Linked DNA regions of Mus musculus: regions 1, 2, 3, 5, 6 and 7 are each reported to be linked to region 4. The links are microRNA targets in miRTarBase. Many come from high-throughput screens and were not tested one by one. Region 4 holds a microRNA gene; each other region holds the end of a gene's coding sequence.

The links. The annotated mature microRNA mmu-miR-17-5p reads CAAAGUGCUUACAGUGCAGGUAG and lies in region 4 at 793-815, shown strand. An mRNA with a match to its seed (bases 2 to 7 or 8) in the 3' UTR can be bound and repressed. Matches are read on the target gene's strand: a 7mer-m8 pairs with bases 2 to 8, a 7mer-A1 pairs with bases 2 to 7 and ends in A, and an 8mer does both.
Region 1: the mRNA of Slc35f3 is a reported target of mmu-miR-17-5p. Seed matches in the 3' UTR shown: 7mer-m8 at 2,591-2,597.
Region 2: the mRNA of Marchf6 is a reported target of mmu-miR-17-5p. Seed matches in the 3' UTR shown: 7mer-A1 at 2,377-2,383.
Region 3: the mRNA of Ankrd17 is a reported target of mmu-miR-17-5p. Seed matches in the 3' UTR shown: 8mer at 2,087-2,094.
Region 5: miRTarBase lists Reep1 as a target of mmu-miR-17-5p. The part of its 3' UTR that is shown has no 7-base or 8-base seed match.
Region 6: miRTarBase lists Mapre3 as a target of mmu-miR-17-5p. Seed matches in the 3' UTR shown: 8mer at 2,301-2,308.
Region 7: miRTarBase lists Dync1li2 as a target of mmu-miR-17-5p. Seed matches in the 3' UTR shown: 7mer-m8 at 1,731-1,737 and 7mer-m8 at 2,377-2,383.

What each region holds. Positions count from the first base shown.
Region 1 is chr8:126,394,336-126,397,418 of GRCm38, reverse strand. It overlaps Slc35f3 (solute carrier family 35, member F3), which reads right to left. Exons shown (of 8, transcript NM_001363500.1): 8 at 1,462-2,987. The coding sequence ends at 2,752. Among named protein-coding and RNA genes, the nearest start is that of Gm51604, 26 kb to the left of the region's middle.
Region 2 is chr15:31,456,500-31,459,582 of GRCm38, forward strand. Marchf6 (membrane associated ring-CH-type finger 6) reads right to left here. Exons shown (of 26, transcript NM_172606.2): 26 at 1-2,780. The coding sequence ends at 2,690. Among named protein-coding and RNA genes, the nearest start is that of Ropn1l, 4.4 kb to the left of the region's middle.
Region 3 is chr5:90,226,604-90,229,686 of GRCm38, reverse strand. Ankrd17 (ankyrin repeat domain 17) reads left to right here. Exons shown (of 34, transcript NM_030886.2): 34 at 346-2,521. The coding sequence ends at 405. Among named protein-coding and RNA genes, the nearest start is that of Cox18, 4.1 kb to the right of the region's middle.
Region 4 is chr14:115,042,892-115,045,974 of GRCm38, forward strand. It overlaps Mir17 (microRNA 17), which reads left to right and starts at 780; the gene lies at 780-863. Mir18 (microRNA 18) reads left to right here and starts at 960; the gene lies at 960-1,055. It overlaps Mir19a (microRNA 19a), which reads left to right and starts at 1,109; the gene lies at 1,109-1,190. Mir20a (microRNA 20a) reads left to right here and starts at 1,266; the gene lies at 1,266-1,372. It also overlaps Mir19b-1, Mir17hg and Mir92-1.
Region 5 is chr6:71,807,384-71,810,466 of GRCm38, forward strand. It overlaps Reep1 (receptor accessory protein 1), which reads left to right. Exons shown (of 7, transcript NM_178608.4): 7 at 408-3,083. The coding sequence ends at 418. Among named protein-coding and RNA genes, the nearest start is that of Mrpl35, 15 kb to the right of the region's middle.
Region 6 is chr5:30,864,854-30,867,920 of GRCm38, reverse strand. Mapre3 (microtubule-associated protein, RP/EB family, member 3) reads right to left here. Exons shown (of 6, transcript NM_001310516.1): 5 at 2,954-3,067; 6 at 1,815-2,793. The coding sequence ends at 2,725. Among named protein-coding and RNA genes, the nearest start is that of Tmem214, 3.2 kb to the left of the region's middle.
Region 7 is chr8:104,417,979-104,421,046 of GRCm38, reverse strand. Dync1li2 (dynein, cytoplasmic 1 light intermediate chain 2) reads left to right here. Exons shown (of 13, transcript NM_001013380.2): 13 at 365-3,068. The coding sequence ends at 465. Among named protein-coding and RNA genes, the nearest start is that of Dync1li2, 24 kb to the left of the region's middle.

The DNA of each region.
Region 1 (3,083 bases), not on the chromosome of region 4:
TCCTCTGACTCTTTAAAAAAAAGCAATCAACCCCTCCACCCCCAGAAGAACACAAAATAAAACACCCCAGGAAAACACACACACACAAAATGAAGACTGATCAACTAGACAAAAAAAGGTTTCTAAACAAAAGCAAAATGAGACAAAAAGTTTACAAAATTACCACGGTCTTTGTGTTGGCCAGTTACTGGTGAGCATGGTGCCTGCCCTGAGGCTCAAGGGTATCAGATAGCATCTTAGTGGGGTTGAGAGCCTTTGTCTATGTTCCCCTCTCAACACTAGGACCCGGTCTGACTTTAACTTGGGCAGGCCTTGTACACGCTGCAGGTCTCTGGGTTCACATGTCTGTCAGTCCAGTTTCTTTGGAGACATCCATCATTCCTGGCTCTTAGAATCTTTTCGTCTCCCTTACAGATCCTTGAGTCATGAGGGGAAGGCTTTGATTTAGGACAGAGTGCTCCAGCGTCTCTCCTCTGCATCGGCCAGATGTAGGTCTATGTCAGTTCCCCTCTACTGCACAAAGAAGCTTCTCTGATGGTGGCCTGGGGTGGCCACTGGAGATCCCTGGGCTAGAAGGGAGGTCTGAGAGGGTCAGGAGGAAAGAGCTCCCAATCTTTTGTTATCTTTTTTAAAAAAATGTGTTTGTGGCTATCTTGTCTGTATGCATATATGTGTACCTCAAGTGCTTGGTAACTGTGGAAGCCAGAAAAGGGCATCAGATCCCCTGGAACTGGAGTTACAGACAGTCGTGGGCTGTCCTGTGGATGCTGGGAACCAAACTTGAGTTCTTTGAACGAACAGCCAGTGCTCTCACAGCTGAGCCACCTCTCTCTCTAGTTGTTGTTGTTTGGTTTTTGTTGTTGTTGTTGTTTTAAATCAGTGAGCTGATAGGACAAGATACATTTGCTATAGGGCAGGTATAGGGCTAACTTTATAGAGGGAAATGTTTGCCGGGCTGAGTTTTATGAAGTATTCAGTGGTGGAGGTGGCAGGACACAACCTTGCCACCTGTGTTGCCTTTTGGACTTTCTGGAACAGAGACATGGGTGATGTGACCCCATCTTTAGGAACCCTGCCTTCCAAAGCTCTGCCCAAGACACTTGGGTCTTACAGCTTGTGGCCACAGCTGCCTAGACACAGCTTCACGACCCTCCTGCCTCTTCCCCTTACTGTTACAGGGGTGTGTGTGTGTGTGTATGTGCACGCGTGTGCATTTAGCCATGCTCAGCTGTTTACACGAGTGCAGATGCTTGTACAGCAGGTGTTTTACCACTGACTCATCTCCTGCTGCACCATCCCTTCAGCCCCACAGACTTAGTTTCTATGTCTGTTGCCATAGCAACAACCATCTTCCCTCTGGCAGCTAGGCAGGCTGCACAAGGACCCTTAGTGGGAGGTCACCGGGAGGCACCAAAAGTACACTCAATGCTTTTTTTTTTGTTTGTTTCAAATGTTTTATTAATCTGTTTGGCCAAACAAGTTATGGAAACTGAGAATAATTGGCTAAAAAGTTCAGGTCATGAGTACCCCTTCCCCCCAGGAAACGAAAGACTCCATGGTTCCAGAATGCACCTTTAGGATATGATACCATTTCAAAATCAGGTTCCCATTTATATGTAACAATGTAAACTTCAAAAATAGTAAACTCTAAGCCCAGTCCCTCTGTACAGATCTATCACAGATAGAAGTCTCCGGCAGACCTAAATTGTGTAAGTAAACAGCCCGGCGCTTAAAAGTTTCTTTAAAAGGCTTACAGACTCAGTAAATAATGTTTCAGTCTTGGTCTGGAAGTGAAAGCCACCAGCCGTCCCTCCCACACAGTGCACCTGCTGTGCATGTCACACACCGCCAACCACCCTCCAAATACACTGGCCACTGGCTTTGTCACGTTTAAACACACATATACACATATAGTTTGTGTTTGTTTTTTTTTTTTAAAGATTTCTACATCTAAATTATAAGACGGCGCCAGTGACATATAATGTCACCTCGCTTCACATAGGACAGAGATGCTGTAGAAGGCACTGAGTTCTCCTCATGGTCTTGTGAGACCAGACCAGCTAGGTCGGAGTTCTGTTTTCTATCATGTGACCCAGCACAGGCCTGTCCTCCGTTTATCTTCATGTCATTATCCTTTTCTGCTTTGCCTCTCTTCCTTTCCTTTCCCATCCACCCATCTGTCCATCAACCGTCTATCCACCTATATGTTTATCTATCCATCGATCGATCCATCCATCCATCCATCCATCCATCCACCCACCCATCCATCCATTTATCCATCTATCCATCTACCCATCCAAATTAACTGACAATTATCTTTTGGTTCATTGAGATTCCTTAAAATTAAGTATACAGTTCTGGTATAAAACAAAATATGACCTACTATAGCTGAAAAATAATCACAGTGCACAATGTCACTTTCAATTGCTAAGAGGCAGAGCCTTTGCCCTGGCTTGTCCAGCTTGCCTGTCCTCTGAAGAGACCGACACAAGGCTCATTTTACCTCGCTTTACATTCATTTAAGAAGCGCTGAGAGGTTCTTTTCTCATCTGTTTTGAATCGGTACCCTTAGTGGAAGGTCTGACGTGGAAAAGTGCAAGCAAATTGGACATGCCAATAAATACCGTAGAACTTACTGCAGTTACCAAAACTGTACATGTATGTACACCTCACCCAACTGAGGTTCCTCCATCAGGAATAGACCTCAAAAACATTACCATGGGTGCATCCCAGAGTTCTAGAGGAGTTTTCTCAGCGAGCGAAGGATGGGCGGGCTCTTCTGCTCCTGCTCTGGGGACCCGTGCCCAAGTCCCCGCTGCTCTCTGCTGTCTCCTCCTTCTTCCTCACTTTGAGGCGGGTGAGCAACTTGATCAACCAGACATCCCACTCTTCTGGAAGGAGCAGGAGGAGGAAGCCCAGGCCGATAATGATGATGGCGATGACCCGGACCCCGTTGAAGACTATCTGACTGGTGTAGTGATCGACCACTGTGGGAGACAGAGCACCGGTTACTCAGTCTGTGGACGTGGAGATACGTCTGAGCATCCGACAGGGCAGGCCAGGGCCACCTGAACCTCTCAACA
Region 2 (3,083 bases), not on the chromosome of region 4:
GAGGCATCACAGTAACTAGCCTGATATTCTCCACCCCAGAGAGGAGAGGAAGGAACTAATTTGGAGCACCGTGCCAAGTGCCAAGTTCTTGCATAATGGCACTGGCTCCTGTGTCTGCAAACACAACAGGGTACAAATGTCCAATGCGTATTTTGTGTTTGTCTTAAAAATTCATCAACTCAACCTGAATTTAGGAATATACTTTAATAAAGCATTTGTGCGACACAGAAGCGACATGTCTGATAAACTCATAGGAGGATTGTCCCTTGAGGGGAGGGACCATCTTGAGAATTCACAGTAATAACAGCTATACTGACTGTTAAAACAAAAATTACTGTTCAATACATGTCTTATCTCCCTACCCTACCCCCGGAGAACGGGAGTGGGGGCTGGAACCACAACTATAAACATGGAACATTAAGGCTAGCTACACACAAATTTTACATTGGCATTTTCTTCAGTTTTCATCTAAACTATTAGTACTTTGTAGTTTAAAAATCAAACCATAATTTGTTAATAATGAACAACTATACATTTCGAAGTGACCATCTGATAACTGGTCATGTAAAACTAATCCCAAGTGGTGATTTGTCTTCAAATTATCAATAATAAAGCACAAAGGTCTTTCCTAGTAAACTCCCTTGAAGACTGGGTGTTAGCCTAATTCAAAATGATGCACATCTCTATAAATTTCCTGTAAAGACCGGCAGCAAATAGGAACACCTTCTGAATTGAGGGTTTTAAATGTTTATGATATTGTTGAATAAAACCTGTATGTCACCCTAGCAAATGTTATGCACAATAAATCCCCACGAGGACATCATCTTCCTGAAAGCCACTGGACAAAGCACACAGGAGAGCAGGCCCTGCCAGTGAGATGGGGCCCACCTTGGCAATCGGCGCTGTTTGTGGTTGTTCTCAGAAAAGCATCCAGTAAGCTCACTTACAATTCCAGATGACTGAGAATGCTTAGCTTTTTGTGGTAGATCCATAAATTGTTTAAAAATTAAAAATGAAACCTGAATGTTATATGTCCAATATACCAGCATCAAAAGATTAGGCTTTATAGACATATTCCCATTGACAGGTGGCACTGCATTTTAAAATGCTAATTCTTTATGGAAGGACAAAGTCTGAGAGTGAAGGTAGGCTTGCTACAGGAGAGAAAGGCTGTTACAAAATGACAGTGTTAACACTGGATCCATGGCAAGACTGTTTTTGTTTTTTAAATATAATGCTGCTTTAAAACAAAGTATTTGCTTATTACTTAGTGAATTTAAGAACGACAAAAAGACAAAATCAAGAAAGGAACAAAACCAGAAAGCATTGCTCTTAATCTTTTGTTTGGCTTTGTATTTAGAGGTGGGGGTGGGCCCTCAGACCTTTCCAACTATGGGTTTAATACTCCATGGAACTCTTTACAGTCTATGAAAGCTTCTAGCACTATCCTTATAATACACCTTTACCATTAAACACTTGAATGACGTACAACCATCCTAATCTTTTAAACTTTAAACATGAAGCTTGGGCTAGGGGAACCAGGCTTCCTCTGAGTATTAAATTCTCTAAAATCTCACAGCATTTCTCCAATGCAACTCTTTCCTATGGCGAAGGCCAACTCAGTCTGCTTCCTTTCAAACAAATAAAACTTGGTTTTATTTGCGGTTTACTGTAAACACCATGCCTTAGGAACAGGGGTTTCCTGGTATATTAACTGAGCCTCAGCTGCAATGTGCTGCCAGCACGGCAGGATGTTCTACTCATCGTCCCTGATGCAGTCGGCCTCATTCCACGGCCTAGGGCCTTGACCTGTCACTACTGGTCCTGTTGGTGATGACATCCCCTTAGATTTCTCATCCGGCATGACACTTTTGGCCACTGTTGACAAAAAGAAAGAGCTGTATGGAAGGGGAGGAGGTCAATAAAAAAATCTTCATTTGTAGTTTATCTTTCTAAGTATAGACATGCCCCTAACAAGCACAAAAACCCCAACTCCCAATGCTGATCACTAGGAATATTAAATTATCAAAATTAAAAATAATTTCCTCATCTAGCACAATATACTATACAATATTACAAACACAGACACATGAAAACAATCAGGCAGTAGAAAATGTACAACAGCTTTGGTGTTACATGTAATAATTTCCAAATACGACTGTCTGTGAGGCACTCCGTCCAGTCCCCTACCACAGGCTCCACTGCCCATTCGGCTCCTGGTAAGGAAGGACTGACCAGCCAAGGACAGGATGCAGTTACCTGGTGAGAACTGCTGGCAACACCATGCACTGTGCTCCAAAAGATGTCACTCAAAGTCTCGCCTATACACTACTGCTCTGTGGCACATTTCCTGTCGAGATCACAGCAGGTCCAAAATAAAGTGACAACTAGATTTAATAAATTAATATACATTTGTTAAAGATGTACAATGCACATTCTGTTTAATCCAAGGTTTTAGGGCATCAAGGAACTCCTATTTACACATGTACAGATCTCAAGACAGCAGTGATGTCGGCAGATGCAGGGAGGAGCAGTAGTGCCGGATGCGCTGCTCTCTGAATGCTGAGGAGACAAGTCAAGTACATTTAACTTAAACAACGCTGAGATCACAGGAGAATCTCCAAGTGAGAAGTCCACAACAAAGGACACGAAAAGGCAAGGAGAAGCTCAAGGAGCTGAGACAAGCACTTTATTCTTGGGACGACACCGGAGGCGGTGTAGACGGGCCTTGCTTGCCGGATTTGCGCTCATAGTTCACCAGGCGCTGCCCCACAAGGTACCTAGAGTACAAAAACAGGGTGGTCACTTTCTTGTGTGACTCACACATATGCCATTCTTCCAGTGACACCTTGTTAACTGTATTCACAGCAGCTTACTAGCAACCTTTCAAGAGGCAGGCTAGAGGGCGTCTAGAGCGAGCACAAAGGCCAGCACGTTGGAGGAGGGTCTGGCATAAGGTGAGGTTTGTGGGAAGGGCCAGAGCTGTGGAGACTGCACATGATGCTCAGTGATGGGGTCTGTATTACACTGGGGAGGTTAGGAGTGCTCGTCACTGTAGTCCAAACATGTGCAGGGGATTTCCT
Region 3 (3,083 bases), not on the chromosome of region 4:
GGTACCATGTAACCCTAGGGACCAAGCCTATGTCTGCTACAAGAGCATCCTGTGCTCTTAGCAATTGAGCCATCTCTGCAGGCCCCGCCTTTTATTCTTCTGTTTGAGTTCTTTGACAAGAGGTCTCAAGTAACCCAAGCTGTCCCTACTGTACAGATAAGGATGACCTTGAACTCCAGAGTATTTCCTTTTCTTTATTAGGACTAAATGTGTTGCCAAATCCAGCTATATGTTGACGATTGAATGAGATTATGTTGTCTTAGTCCATAAATGTTTCATTGTTTGTCCTAGTATTCTAAGTATCTGCCTGACTTGTATTTGGTGACACGAATGCTCTGTTTGTAGGTATGGACTGGACCCTGGGCACCTCACATGAACAGTGTGCACATGAACCAGCTTGGCTGATGAGGAGAAGCCTGGTAGCCTGCAGATTCCTTTCATTCAGAGGAAATCACAAGTGGCCGAGAAACATTTTTATGCTCCCAAATCATTCTACTGATGTGCTTGACTGAAGTGTGTAGGCTTTTTGCAGAAGAACTTACTAACTGACCTATTTTCTGTGAACATTTGTGACAGCCAATTCTCCATCATCATCCGTTTTTACCTTAGTTAGAATTTTTTCTTATCATTTTTCTTCTTTCTTTCCCTCTTCTCCTTTGGACATAACTTTCTGTTGACGCTGTTCTTTGGCTGGTTGGTTTTAGTACTGTAAACTGCTTCTGAGCAAACACGGAAATTTAGCAAAATTATGTAAACTTGATCCTGAAGTTTTAGAATGGCAAATAAATGTACAATTGTTTACATAACAGAAAAGGCTAAGCAGAAAGTAAATTTCAGTGTGTCAGTCTAGAGGCTCTACTTTATGTAGACTTAAATTCATGTGAGATATGTACCTTCATATTCAGAAATCTGGATGTCTCCTTCATACATTAAACTATTAATAAGCACCACTTTTCTACTTGTATATTTTAAGCATAGAGTAAAATGATGGGCATTATCAACTGATGTTCCCTGCGTTAGCTCTGAAACACCCATCTTATTCCCTGTTGGGTTTGATTGTAGCAAGGCAGATAGAAGAAATTTCTGATTTTTCCGTGTCTTTATTAAATTTGTCACACTTTTCAAACTCATGCACACACATCTCTTCAGTTTGGACTCTCTCTTTGCCACTATTGCTACTTAGTAAGATTCTCTTGCTCAATAGTGAGAACCTTCTTGTAAAGTTTTTTCCCATAGTGGCTGTGACACAGATGTGGAGCATCTTCAGTGGCACCAGTGGTTTTTTCTAACCAGAAAGCTTGAGACTTTTGAGCAACTTAAAAGCCACCACAGCTCTCAGTCAGCATATATTGTTTATTTTTAAAGATTTCAGCATATTTTATATTGGATGATATTGATTCTTAACATTGGCCCTTCCTGGTCAGCAAGAGTCAACATGCAGTTTTCCCTTTTCAAGCATCTATGTCTTAGTTTGAAAGGCTCCTCTCTCTGTAGTTGTTGGTAGAAATGAAAAGGATGAACAGCTAACTTGGGCCAACTCAAAAAGGAGTGTTTGGGTTCCTTTTTAAAATGAATACACGGATTATAAATTAAAGTCTCCATTTAACTTGTTTATATGTGATTCAGGGCCACACTAAACTACTCAGTGGGAATTATATATTCCAACCACTTGAAACAATAAACAATAATGTATACAAGAAGAATATGTGTCCTGCCCTGTCTCCTATGGAAAAGTAACTCACATGATTGAAATATAAAACAGTTTATACATGAGAAATACTGTCATAATACATGTCAAATACTATCAATTTGGTTTTTAATTAGAGACAAACTTAACACTGTAAAATATGAACTAAAGCTTACACATGCCACCTAAGGTTGATAATAACATTCATTGGTTGTCATAGTATGTGATATGATTTTATGCCTGTAGTGACCTGAGTGAAGAGGATAAGGTAGTTTCTCAAACCCACCCAGCACTCTGGATGCTAAGTATATACATTCAGTTCCACCTTTGCTTAATACACACAAAATAGGAGGAAAATAGCCTACAAATACAGCCATGAATTTAAAAGAAATTTAAAAAGCACTTTACTTACACAAAGCAACAAAACTGCATGATGTTAATATTTTGTATTGAATTTTGCCACGGTTCTGTCTTCTTTGCTCCCAGAAGACTTTTCTGAGATACCTAGAGTTATTTTCTGCCTAAAATAATAGAGTTGGAGAACAGACACTACTCAGGGTGTGCTGCCACGTGTGAGTAGTGGTGTTCACCACACATAACCTCCTAGCGAGTGTCTTACTGAAAAAGGAAGAAGGGTGGGAAAGCGAGTATTTTCTTGGTTTTAAAATGTGGAGCATGGAAATAGATTTGAGCCCTGTCTCTCTACACTGAGAGAGCAGGATGGCGCCATGGTTCTAGAAGTTTGTACCAGGAACATTTTTCAAATACATTTTTATACTTCAGATGTAATATAGAACATTTTATTTATTTAAACAATAAAAAAAAAGTTCTTGAGACCGTGCAGGTCTTTTTTTTTCCCCCCTTTTTGAAGTATGTGATTATCTCTGCACACTACATAGTTTGCTTCTTTTTAAGAAGCGACTTAACAGATAGCTGTGGTGCTGCACACCTTGAAATCCCAGCAGTCAGGAGGCAGAGCCTGCTGAATCTCCGAGTTCAACCCACCTGGTCTACTTAGTCCTTCCTAGGACAGCCAGGGCTACAAAGAGAAACCCTGCCTCAAAAAAGAAGAAAAGCGGGGAAAGTGTGGCAGATGTGGAGCCTGGCAGAAGGGTCTCTTCAATTCAAGACCAGCCAGGTCTATAAAGTTCCAGGCCCAACAGGGCTACATAGTGAGACCCTGTCTCAACTTCCCCCCCAAAGCAAAAATATACCTGAGTCTGACTTGAAGGGGTTATTTTTTATAATTTCTCATAAGAATTTGCCTCATATGTATTTTCTTAAATTTTCCTAAAGAAGTTTAGAAATTTTATTTGGACTATGAGCCCTGTAAAATGACAATATAACTTATATTAAAATTTTGAGCAGTGTGCTAATATTCTATAATAAACATGTT
Region 4 (3,083 bases):
GTGGACCTAGCAGCACCCGAAGCATTGCCCAAGGATACTTGCTGAGAAGGAAGTTTGCCTGAGTGGGTGAGTATATTCTAGTTTTGTAGCTAAAACTTCTTTTGAGACCTTTGGTTTTCACTTTTGTCTTTGAGCTTGTACAACATTCTTGGTCTTTTAAGGTATGAAATAAATACAGTTTGAACTCTTGTCATAAATGAGTGAGCCACATTTTAACGTAGTAAATCTACAGTGGCTTTTGGACACTAACCAAATAGTTGTAGACCCTTCAAGTTGGAGTCATAGAGTATTTCTAATTTGGGGTGATACTAAGACTTTTTTATGTTTTATGACTAATAAACTTGAAAATGACTAAACAATAATCATTAATCTTGTCGAGTATCTGACAATGTGGAGGACAGAAGAAAGGGATTGCTGCCTGGTCAATGTGAGGCTTTCCTCTAAAGGTAGTACCAAGTCAGACTGCCTTCCTGATAACAGGTCTCATTTTGTAGGACCCTTATTGTGTGTTTTTTGGGGAAGCCTACTGTAAAAGCCAACATTTTAATGGGATTGTATCTTATATTTCTTTAAGGAGTTTTTTTTTTTTTTTTAAGGCTTACATGTGTCCAATTTGGAACTTCTGGCTATTGGCTCCTCCCCTCCCCCCCTTGGGTATAAGCTGTAATTGATGTTTGTGACAGAATTTAGAGCTTTGGCTTTTTCCTTTTTGTCTAATTATTTATTTCAAATTTAGCAGGAATAAAGTGAACCTCACCTTGGGACTGAAGCTGTGACCAGTCAGAATAATGTCAAAGTGCTTACAGTGCAGGTAGTGATGTGTGCATCTACTGCAGTGAGGGCACTTGTAGCATTATGCTGACAGCTGCCTCGGTGGGAGCCACAGTGGGCGCTGCCTCGGGCGGCACTGGCTGCGTCCAGTCGTCGGTCAGTCGGTCGCGGGGAGGGCCTGCTGGTGCTGCGTGCTTTTTGTTCTAAGGTGCATCTAGTGCAGATAGTGAAGTAGACTAGCATCTACTGCCCTAAGTGCTCCTTCTGGCATAAGAAGTTATGTCCTCATCCAATCCAAGTCAAGCAAGCATGTAGGGGTCTCTCCATAGTTGTGTTTGCAGCCCTCTGTTAGTTTTGCATAGTTGCACTACAAGAAGAATGTAGTTGTGCAAATCTATGCAAAACTGATGGTGGCCTGCTATTTACTTCAAGTGTTGTTTTTTTTTAAACTAATTTTGTATTTTTATTGTGTCGATGTAGAGCCTGCGTGGTGTGTGTGATGTGACAGCTTCTGTAGCACTAAAGTGCTTATAGTGCAGGTAGTGTGTAGCCATCTACTGCATTACGAGCACTTAAAGTACTGCCAGCTGTAGAACTCCAGCCTCGCCTGGCCATCGCCCAGCCAACTGTCCTGTTATTGAGCACTGGTCTATGGTTAGTTTTGCAGGTTTGCATCCAGCTGTATAATATTCTGCTGTGCAAATCCATGCAAAACTGACTGTGGTGGTGAAAAGTCTGTAGAGAAGTAAGGGAAAATCAAACCCCTTTCTACACAGGTTGGGATTTGTCGCAATGCTGTGTTTCTCTGTATGGTATTGCACTTGTCCCGGCCTGTTGAGTTTGGTGGGGATTGTGACCAGAAGATGTGAAAATGACAATATTGCTGAAGATGCCGATTTCCACTGTAAAAATGTTCACGAGCTGATGGAGTGTATGAACACATTCTGTAAACTGTGATTTCTATTGCTTTCGTTGGTGTGTAAAACGGGATTTTTTTAATTGAAATTTGTGTTTTTAAATTGTGGTTTGTTTTTACTGAATCATTTCATTTTCGTGTTTGCTCGCTGGATTTAGTAAGAAGTTGTGTGTGGGGGCTTAGGTGAAGTTAAACTGCCTTTTGAACCTGGTATGACTTCAGGTTTATTTTACTCTAAAACCCATTAACATGAGTTAAGAAAAATGTTACTTTCTTTGGATCTCTGTTTATTAAAGTGTGACAATTCAGATGGAGTGTTTTCTGATAAGATTATTCCTAATCCGTGAGTTCTTAACAGTTAACAGGTGGTGGCCACTCTGTTAATGTGCACACCCTGTAAGAAAGAACTATCCTTGGACTGTTCTTACCATGTGACCCCCTCAAGGGAAAGATGGCAAACTGATGGTCAGTAGAGTGACAGGTACACATGACACTCGAGTGCTGGGTCTGGAGAAGCTGCAGTTAGTATTTAGGATAACAGTATATATAATATATAGTTCTACATTTGGGCAGCACAGTTGGTTTCAGGCTATGAATAAAAATCATTGGAGTGAAACCTAAAGAAAAGTAAAATTAATAAGGAAGAGCTGCTAAAATCAGGTTTAAGCTGACACTATCTACAGAGCTAAAGTTTTCCATAATATGTTGCTTTTTTTAAAAGAAATGCAAGAAGCTGACTGATGGATCCCTGAGCTGCCAGGTAAGGATTCCACAGGCCTGGGTTTGATTGTGAGTGACCAGAATTGTACAATTATTACTAAAACAGAAACATAGTCACTTCTGACTCCATTCTTAACATTTTTGGATTAAAACTTGTTTCAGATGACTAATGAAAACTTCCTTTAAAACGTGATAAAGCTCTAATGTCAGCACGATCCACATGATCCATGTGCCTCCTATAAAGGGAGGGGTCTGTCACCAGTGTTACGGATTGAATGCTACGTTTATCTTCCAACATAGGAAGCCTGCCAGGTACTTTCTTCAATATACTAAATTAGAAGTTTAAAATTAATAAGGTCTTAATTAGGACCTTTGGATGCTGAGCTTGTGGTAGTAATTGTGTTCAGAATGTTTTGAACTTAAATTGAGATTTAATTTTAGTAAGGAATGTGTGTCTTAGAGGCCTAGTAGTGAAGAGGAGTTTTCCTAGGATTTTCCTCTCTCCTCCCTTAATTAAGCTGCTTTCTGCACTAAGGGCTTCACGCAGCAACGCACTTGTTCAGTTCCGCACAGGGGGCTTTGCTGACTGTCTGCTCTAAAACTCTGTTGGCAAAACAGCTGTGGTCTCTCTTAGACTTTGATTTTGTAGTAACTAGGGCATATAGTTGCTATAAGC
Region 5 (3,083 bases), not on the chromosome of region 4:
AGAAAAGGTCTCTGCAATCATCTTCAGGGAGATGAGGTAGTGGTGGCCTTCCAGGTGTGGCTTGCTGGAGAGTAAAAGAGAACAGAGACTGGACGTTTGTGTGAAAGCACACGCCAGAAAAAAGTTCCCATAGGAACTATAAAACTCAGCCAAGGGCTGGAGCTGTCCCCTGAAGCAAGGAAGCCATGCCATTCTGTATGCCCTTCCTTCTCTTCAGCCTCAGGAAGGAGCAGTGGCCTTCCCGGGGGGCCTCAGCCTCACCTCACAGGGTGCAACGCTAGAATCTGATTCCTGTTGTAGGGAACCCAGCTCTACCCAACAACAGAGGGAGCTGGCTCAAGTACCCCTACCTGACGCTGTTCCCCAAGATTCCACCCTCAAGCCCCTCTCTCTGCTTTCTCTCTCAGGCACCGCCTAGAACCCTACGATCCCGCTTCAGGAAGAAAAGTACCTCATCCTCGGCCACTGAAACCACGTGAGATGAGCCAACAGCCCCGGATCCACACATGTCTGTCTCCTCTGCCTTAAAGAGCTAGTCACTAGTACCATGGAAGTCCGCAGGCTGGGTGTGCTTCGAGTGTGCAGCCCACGGACATGGCCTTTACTCGCTCCCCTCTTCTGCCTTTAAGACTCTTCTGTTCTTTCCTTTTTGTTCCTGCTGGGGAGAGGCTAAAGGGAAAAGGTGGTGGTGGAGGGTGACCTTTACGTCTTCTGGGGTTAGTGATTTTCCCCAATTGGATTGTCATTGTGGCCGCAGTGTTTTTAGATCTATAAGCACTCTTTCCATGATGCTGCTGAGATGTACATTTGTAATTTGTTTGTTGCATAGTTTTTAGTCCTGTAAATGCAAACGACGTGATCTTTTTTAAAAACCCTTTTGTTGTTCTTGGTACTAATACATTGGACTATGGTGTACATAGTTACAGCTTTTGGCTTAATGTAATGAACTCGCAAGGGCTGCCAGAAGTTCTGGTGAGAGAGCTGCAAAAACAAAAATGTAGACAAATATTTTAATTCTAGGCAATGTCTCCAACTTCCTTACAAAGGCAGTGCCAGTAAGGCATCCCTTCTCCTGCAGGAAGGCGGTGGTGTGCTTCTGGCGGCTGAGTGGTTGGTAGGTCAGAGCGGAGGCAGGAGTGCAGTGTTCCAGCAACAGGAAGAAAGTTGGTGGGCATCAGGGAAGAGGGAGGAAGAGTACGGCTTCTTCAGTTCTGGGTCCCTGGCTGTCCTAATAGGTTTGTTGTGCTGTACCTAATCTCACCCTTCCTGCCCTTTGGGGTCAAGAACAGAAGCTTCCGAGCCCTTTGGGGAGCACTGGCCCTGCTTCAGGCAGGCCAGCTCACCCTTACTTAGCACGGCCATTTAGGGAATGAAGATCAGCTGCTGGCAGAATTGTGAGTATCTCAGAAGGGCTTGGCAAGAGTGTTTCTCCTTCAGGGACCAGCGCTGTGGCCGACTTCTCCAGGAGCCTACATCTGAGCACCTTGTTTTAGAGTACACAAGGCAAAAAGAAAAGTCTAGAACTAGCTTTTGTTACAGATGTGCTCAAAACACATGAGACACTCAAATCTCAAATGGTCGCCAGAAGGCAGGGTCTAGGGAGGACTGAGGCTAAGCCACAGGCAGCTGTGGCTCTTGCTCCTTTCTGGCTTGTGTGGAAGGTGAATGGGAAGGACTGACACTCATGCTCACTCCATGTCTTCGTGGATGTTTTATACAAGCCAGGACTGCAGTGAGAATTTTGACAAGTCTCTGACTTAGATAACATTGCGTTGAGGGAGCTGCCCTCTCCTCTGATAGCTGAGCCAAATTGTAGGGCTAGTCTGTGTGTGCGTAGAGTTGGTGTTTTCGTTCCATGGAATGCATGCAGCAGTCACAACCCAGTTACTCCTATTTGGATTATATTTGTTCACAGCTATGCCCTGAAGGCTAGAGAAATAGTGTTGTATACCACATAGAACTGTCAACTGACTGCAAACAGGCTCAATTACAAACCGCTCTGGTACCGAGCTATGCAAACATGCACTGGGAGACTGCTCCATCAGCTGGGCCTTGGCCATTTCACAAAGGGTTTCAGTTGCGAGTTCATTGCTGCCAGATACACCTAATGGAATTTTCCAAAGGTGATTTTGTATTTCAGAACTAACCCAAGAGCTGATGACTGACGGTAAATAGTCTGCCTGGGCCCCATATCCATCTGAACCCATTAAGCAAAGCATCTGCCCTCTTCAAGCTCACCCCACAGCTCCAGACAAGAGAAGTGACACCCTTCAAACATACCAACGTGTCAGCTGGGTGTAGCCAGGATGAAGAGGAACAGGTGCAGGAAAGCCTGAGAGAAGCAGCTTTGCAGCTCCCCCTCCACCCCCCGAAATAATAAATGGCTTTAGAGACAGAGTTCAAGTCCTAGTGTATTTTCATCGTTTTACAACAGGAAGTCATAACACATCGAGGCTCTTGAGTTTGTACTCAGCCATGCCAAAACCCAGTTTGAAGCACTCCTCAGACATGCTGTATTACTTCTCGCTCAAGATTTAAAATATAAAGGTATCTAAATCGTTGTCTTATTGTAAATGTAACTCCTTTTCCTTCAAGTGTTGACTAAGTTGTTTCCTCTCTTAAAGACACTCACTGTACAGCCAAACACAGCTGTCTTACTTCTTGAGAACTGTGTTTACTTTTCTGACAAGCTGTGTATTTGTATGTAGACTGACATATGATGTGAATGACCTTGTATGTAGAAGTGCGGTGCTCTGTCTACGCAGGATAAATGAATGTTTCTAGTTCGCTGACTTAAGACACAGGCTGTTTACAAATCGCTAGCTCGAAGGTCTACTTGTCGCGGCTTTGAGTTACTCTCCATTTCTGCAGAGGTGAGGTGCAGTCTCCTGCTCATCAACTGGAGATTTAGTCATAATGCCTCCTGAGTTTGTGTGAATAGCTTGCTCACTTTGCTGGCCTTTGATATGTATGTTCTCTGTGGTAAACTGTCCATGTGTTTGTATTAAGTGCTTATCAACCACAACCATCACGTAGCCATCCCAGTTCTTCACCTTGCACAGTATTTGAAGTATTAGACGTGG
Region 6 (3,067 bases), not on the chromosome of region 4:
TTCAATACAGTTCTTATGTTGGAGTTACCCCCAACCATAAAATTACTTTCGTTGCTACTTCATAACTGTAATTTTGCTACTGTTATAAATTTTAATGTAAATTTCTGTATTTTCCAGTGGTCTTTGGTTACCCCTGTGAAAGGCTGAGAACCACTGGTCTAGACAATCCCAACAGGTTCACATCCACTTCAGCATTCTTGATCTTTGCTGGGTTTCCACGCCTTGGCTATTATGTCTCTTTGACAAACACACTTCAAGAGGGTGGAGTTGTGTGGATGACAAGGGAATGTATCTGACTCCTGTCTCTGTTGGGTTTGTGCTGTTTATATATGCCTGGTAAATGCTGAACCCCAAGATCTGGCTCCATCCTCACATACACTGGCCTTTGTTGTATAAACCAAACTCCCCAAATTAAAGAGGTCACCATTAGATAGGGTAAGGCAGGCCTAGAAGTGTACCTCGAGGACAGCTGATGAAGCAGAACCAGCCTGGATGAGACTCACACAGCAAGTACTATGGGAGTATAGCTAAGAACAGCCGGTCTAGCGTAGGAAAAGAGTTGAGGGTAATCGCCCAATAATTGGGCTAAATTAATAAGACTCTGGGTCAGTGATTGGGTGGATGGCCAGGTCACAATAACAAGTAGTTTTTAAATAGCCAACAACACCCTCCTTCCGGTTAAATCTTGCTCTAAAACAACCCACTTGGGGGCTGGAGTATAAACTGAGTGCTTGCTCTAGTTTTCACACATGCACACGTGTGTGTTACACACGTATGCAAAAATAATAGGAAAAGAAAAAGAGGAACCATGTAGACCCAGCTGTTCTCTGGGCCACAGGCATGTGTGCTGCAACAGCTGTTGTGATGTGTGGGAGCTCTGACAAGGAGTAGAGGGTTACCCTGCAGGCCAGCCTGAAAGAGTCTGCAACAAAACAGTCCTTGGCCAAGAAGCCCCTCCTTCCCCAGTCATCCCATGGCCACTTTCTGGGCTGCCCTCCTTACAGCCACAGCTCTAGACTTCATTCTCCTCCTGAGGACTCCCTGTTGTGGTGAGAACACTTCAAATCCTACAACTGTCTTTCAGGAAGCCACCATTTGGTGCCCCAGACTGCAGGGAGACAAGCCATCCTCTCCTTCATCCATGACGTCAACTGGACAGCATTTGCAGGAACTGGCTCTGTGCTGGCAAGGGCAAGGACTTCAGTACATATCAACACAATTTTCTCAGTGTTTAGTTTTCTCTGTGCCTATGCTACCTGAGTCTGGTGCTTTAACACTAGCCCAGGTTTGCATCAGTCCTGCCCTAGACATAAGAAGTGTATAAACCGCCGGGCATGGTGGGGCACACCTTTAATCCCACCCAGCACTTGGGAGGCAGAGGCAGGCAAATTTCTGAGTTCGAGGCCAGCCTGGTCTACAGCAGAGTGAGTTCCAGGACAGCCAAGGCTACACAGAGAAACCCTGTCTCGAAAAACAAAACAAAACAAAACAAAACAAACAAAAAGAACTGTATAAACCAGCTAGCTAGGGGTCTTTATAGAGAGGTATTTTCGTGATCCACTGGCCTGTAACTCATCCCTAACAAACCCTTGTTACTCACCAAGACCAACTTGAACAAGTCCTTTTTTGGGCTGTTGGTATCATCCCATTTTCAGGGACAGTCTTACATCTCCCAGAGAAATACACATACTACCTGCCTCACAAAGAGTCCTCAGTCGTGGGAGTTGAGTCTAGGTCAGAGCCTGGTTGTCAGTGGTGGCTTCTGCTCATGAAGGTGTGCTGCATGGCTATCCTCTTACAAAAGACAGAGAAGGTGCTATGTTCTGACCCCTTGCTGTGGGTCAATTGAGGAAATCATGGCTTGCCACACAAATTTATTTAAATAAAACTGAACAGATATGCAGGCTGGTGCCCAAGGGGCAAAGGTGGGGGTGAGAGAATGGGGGACAGACAGACAATGGGGGCCAGGCAGAGTCTGTGTGGTCTAACTAGGCTGCAGGAGGGAGTGGCTAGGAAGCCTGGGGCAGTGCTGGGTGTTGGTGCTGAGGCAGGGGCTTGGTGGGGGAGCCCAGTGCCTGGAGGTCATGTCTACTCTCGCATGCTCCCTGGACCCAGAGCACTGCCTCCTCAGCTTCCCTTCCCTTTCCTCATATCAGCCTTTCCCTCATCTACTGAGAGAGAAGTCAAAAGACAAAATAAATAAGAATGGGTGAGTCCTGTCCCAGTCTCGGCTCTAGGGAAGGGGAGCCAAGCCAGAAAGACTACCCCAAGCCCTGCTGTCAGCCCTGGAAAAGAACAGGTAAAGTGCAAGGGCAATCCAGTAAGTAAAAATATACCAATGACTTTGTCAAATATACAGCTGCTGGCTGCCAGGGAGCAGGTGGCTGGCTTGTGGGGTACAGCGGCACCCTGGAAAGTGTTGGCCAACACAGCATAGAGACAACGGAAATAAATAGGAGTGGGGAGTGGACAGGGGTCCTGGACGTCCCCTGGGCCAGTGCCACTCGGGGGACCCAGACAGGGCCTCGTCCTCTCACCTGCCCAAGCCTCCCCCACCACCCTGAACCCCACTCGTCCGGCTCCCTAATGCTGTGGCACTGACACAAAGCACCCAGCTGGCTGACTGGCTGAAAGGAAAGGACTATAATGTGGGGTGGGCATAGTTGGGGTGGGCAGAGTGGAGGTGGGCAGGGAAGCTGTGGTCAGCCAGGGCTGGCGCCTCCCTCAGTACTCGTCCTGGTCTTCCTGTTGGTGTTCTTCAATCTCATCATCCTCAGGGGGTGCAAATCCCTCCTGGAGGAGGGAGAGAGAGATGGTAAGGCAGCTGGCCAAGGGGAAGGATCAGGTTCACACTCAGCCTAGAAACAAGGCATGAGTGGCCACCAGTTCAGGAGCTCTAGCTTGCTCTCGAGTCTCAGCAGAGCAGTGGGAGGGAGGTGAAGAGAGGGCTCACCTCCGTGGCATAGAGAATGCCAATGATGCCCGAGATGACGGGGCTGTTCTCGCTCTCATGTTCCTGGCAGATCAGCTCGATGTCTCGCAATTTGCTGAAATAGAAATCTCGTTC
Region 7 (3,068 bases), not on the chromosome of region 4:
CAGGGATGGGGGATGAGGGTTTTCAGAAAGACCCCTTGAGTTTGATACAGAGGCATCCCCAGGCCCTGCCGAGGAGGCGGCTGCCTAGTTGCAGAAGCACAGACCTGTGGCACTGGCAGTAACAAGATTAGGGTCTGGTTTTTTTGTTATCCTTGTTGAAAAGACTTTTCTCATTTTGAGGATGCTGTCACTAGGAAAGATGGGTTTTGAGGCCAGCCTGATCTACAGAGTAAGTTCCTGGACAGCCAGGGCTATACAGAGAAACCCTGCATAGAAAACAAAATTATTTCCTCACACTGCTATTTTGTGTTTGTTTTTTTTTCTCTCTCTCTCTCTCTTTCTTGTTCCATTTCTTTTCTTTAAGGACAAAAGACTGTGTTGTCAAATGTTCAGGAAGAACTGGATAGAATGACTCGAAAGCCAGACTCCATGGTAACAAACTCTTCAACAGAAAATGAAGCCTGACCCTCCTTTGAAAGTGCATCTGTCAAATGACCAAATAACTATGTATATTCATCTGATAAGACCAGGATTTTTCTGATTCGGCACATGCTGTCAGTTTTTGGGGGTAGGGGAGATGAACTTTAAAACAATACATATACTTCTTTGGCTTGTCCGAGTGTGAGATGCACATTTAGGAGGCTCCATGTCAGGCCCCTTCTTAGGGATGTCCCTTGGACTCTTGGGCTGCGATTCTCTTGTGGGAAGCAAGTGCAGCTGGCCTTGTAGAGTGGAGAAAGGAGGCCCACTTTCTATCAGGGTGGAGCAAAGGAGACTAGGAAGGCATTGTTCAGATGGATGGTTAGTTTGACCAGTTGCGTGTTAGCAAATTCACTTGTTCTTGGGAAGCAGGTTAAGTAGCTGACAGTCCAGGAAAGAGAAAGGTTCCGGAGGGACGAGAGAAGTGCTGGTGGGGAAGCCGAAGGTTGAGGGAGGTGGAGGAAGGAAGCGAGTGAGCGGGCAGGCAGTGTTAGTAAGTACAAGCTCGGTAGAAACCAGATAGCAACAGTTAAGACCTAACAATTAGAAACATTTCCAAACTAAGCACTAAACAGAATGGGAGCTGGGCTTGTTCTAAATGATCTTTAAGTTATGGGAAATGTGTTTTATGTAGGGTGCTGAGTAAGGTGGGCTGACTCAGGGCTGGTGAAGACCACAGCTGCCCCCGGGACCCACATGCTTGACCCAGGCCATGTCCCTTGTCCTTGGAGAGATGTCGGGCTCTATGCAGATGTAACCTGGGGCAGGCAGTCGCTGTGCGTTATGTTCAAAGTCAGCAGATACAAAACTAGATATTTTAAATAGTTCCTGTTTTGTGTTGTTTAATTATTTTTTTAACTACCACAGGCTGGCCAACTAATAGAAAAAGGGTGATTGATTTCTCATTTTGTACCATGTTGGCAATGTTCTAGGGAAAGTGTGGGGGAAGTATTTAATGTCGTTACACTCTGGTTATTTGGCTTGTGCCAGGTCCTGCCTTAGAGCCTGTGGTAACCCTCCCTGATACAGAAAGGTTCTTTCTGTAGCTCCCTGGTCGGATCATTGCTGTCAGACCGACAGGTGGGTGCTTTCCATGGAGAGTGGAAGTGGTAGGCTTGTGCTTTCCATGAAACGTAGCACTTCTTCTCTTAAGGAGGTGCAAGTCTTCTGTGTCTTCCATCAGGGGCATGTTCATGAACACTGTCATGTCACACCACCATGCTGAAGATAACTTCTGTGGATTTGAAATGGCACTTTGAGTTTCTGTGTGACACAGCACATGTAAATGCAAGCACTACCATGACTTTAATGTATAAAATCTTTGTTATCCAAACCAAGGGGAAAACCACAGTTCACTTCCGTGGAGTTTACTCTTTTTTTATATGAATGTTTGTTACTGTGTCTCGGCATAGTGTTCCTAATGTTGTTACATACATGCCAGATTTGACTAACCACTAATGTAGTTGCGTAAGTTAACATCTAGTTACATGACAAGGCTGCTCAACTGTCGAGTGGCTTTGTAAAGGTCTGAACACTGTTAAGGGGAAAGCTGAGTGCTTGCTTGCCTCTCTAACAACAAAAAGATGTGTCTTGTGCCGGTTGTACTATTGAAATATATTTTTTCCTTTTTTAATTCAGTTTTTTTTGTTGTTGTTATTTTGGTTTTGTTTTGTTTTGTTTTTTAAACATGCATTGTGGCTTCAAATGACCAGGTTGTCCAGGCGATGACAGCAAACTGGCTGGAGTGGAAACCATGATGGAGGGTCAACTGATCTCCGTAGCAGCCAGGGCAAAGTGAATGACCTCAGAAACTAGGAATTCTTGCAAAGACACTGCCTAATAGTGTGATTTTGAAACCTTGATACAAAAGTTAAAGTGTATCACTGGAACGGGTAGGCACTTTTTGTGTTGATGTCAAGTGTGCTCTAACCAACTGAGGAAATGCTGAGGTCGGAGTGGGAGGGAGGCTTGGAGACCATTGTGTTATTCCTTTGATACTTGGATGCGCCTAGTTTCAGAAGAAACTGATGCGTGTTGTCATGTGCTCAGTAGTTGCCAAAGTCCACCAGCTTTGCGGAGCTTCAGGGTTTTTTGGGGGTTTGAGGAGATGAGGTAATTTTTATTATTTTAGGAGTTTCAAGCATTGGAACCAAAGGCCAAATAATAAACAGCCTTTACTTTTTAGAGTAAAATTAATTCTATTTGCAAGAATACACTTGCATGGTAGACTATAAAAGACAATTTTATGACTATTTATACACATTATAATGATTACCTCTGTTTGTCTTTAAATGGATAATTTTAAGTAAGCCCAGCCTAAAAATTATAGCCCACATGAGGGCTGTGAATTGGTCTTTCCTAAAAATCCAACATATATGCTGCTAGATTATTTTATTTTATTTGCATTTTTTTTAATAACAGGGAGGGTTTCTTTGTATTGCCCTGGCTGTCCTGGAACTCACTCTGTAGAACAGGCTGGCCTCCAGAGATCTGCCTGCCTCTGCCTCCCAAGTGCTAGGATTGGTGTGTGCTACAGTGCCCGATTGCACCTTTTTTTTCATTTTTACTTTTTTTGTTGTTGTTGGCAT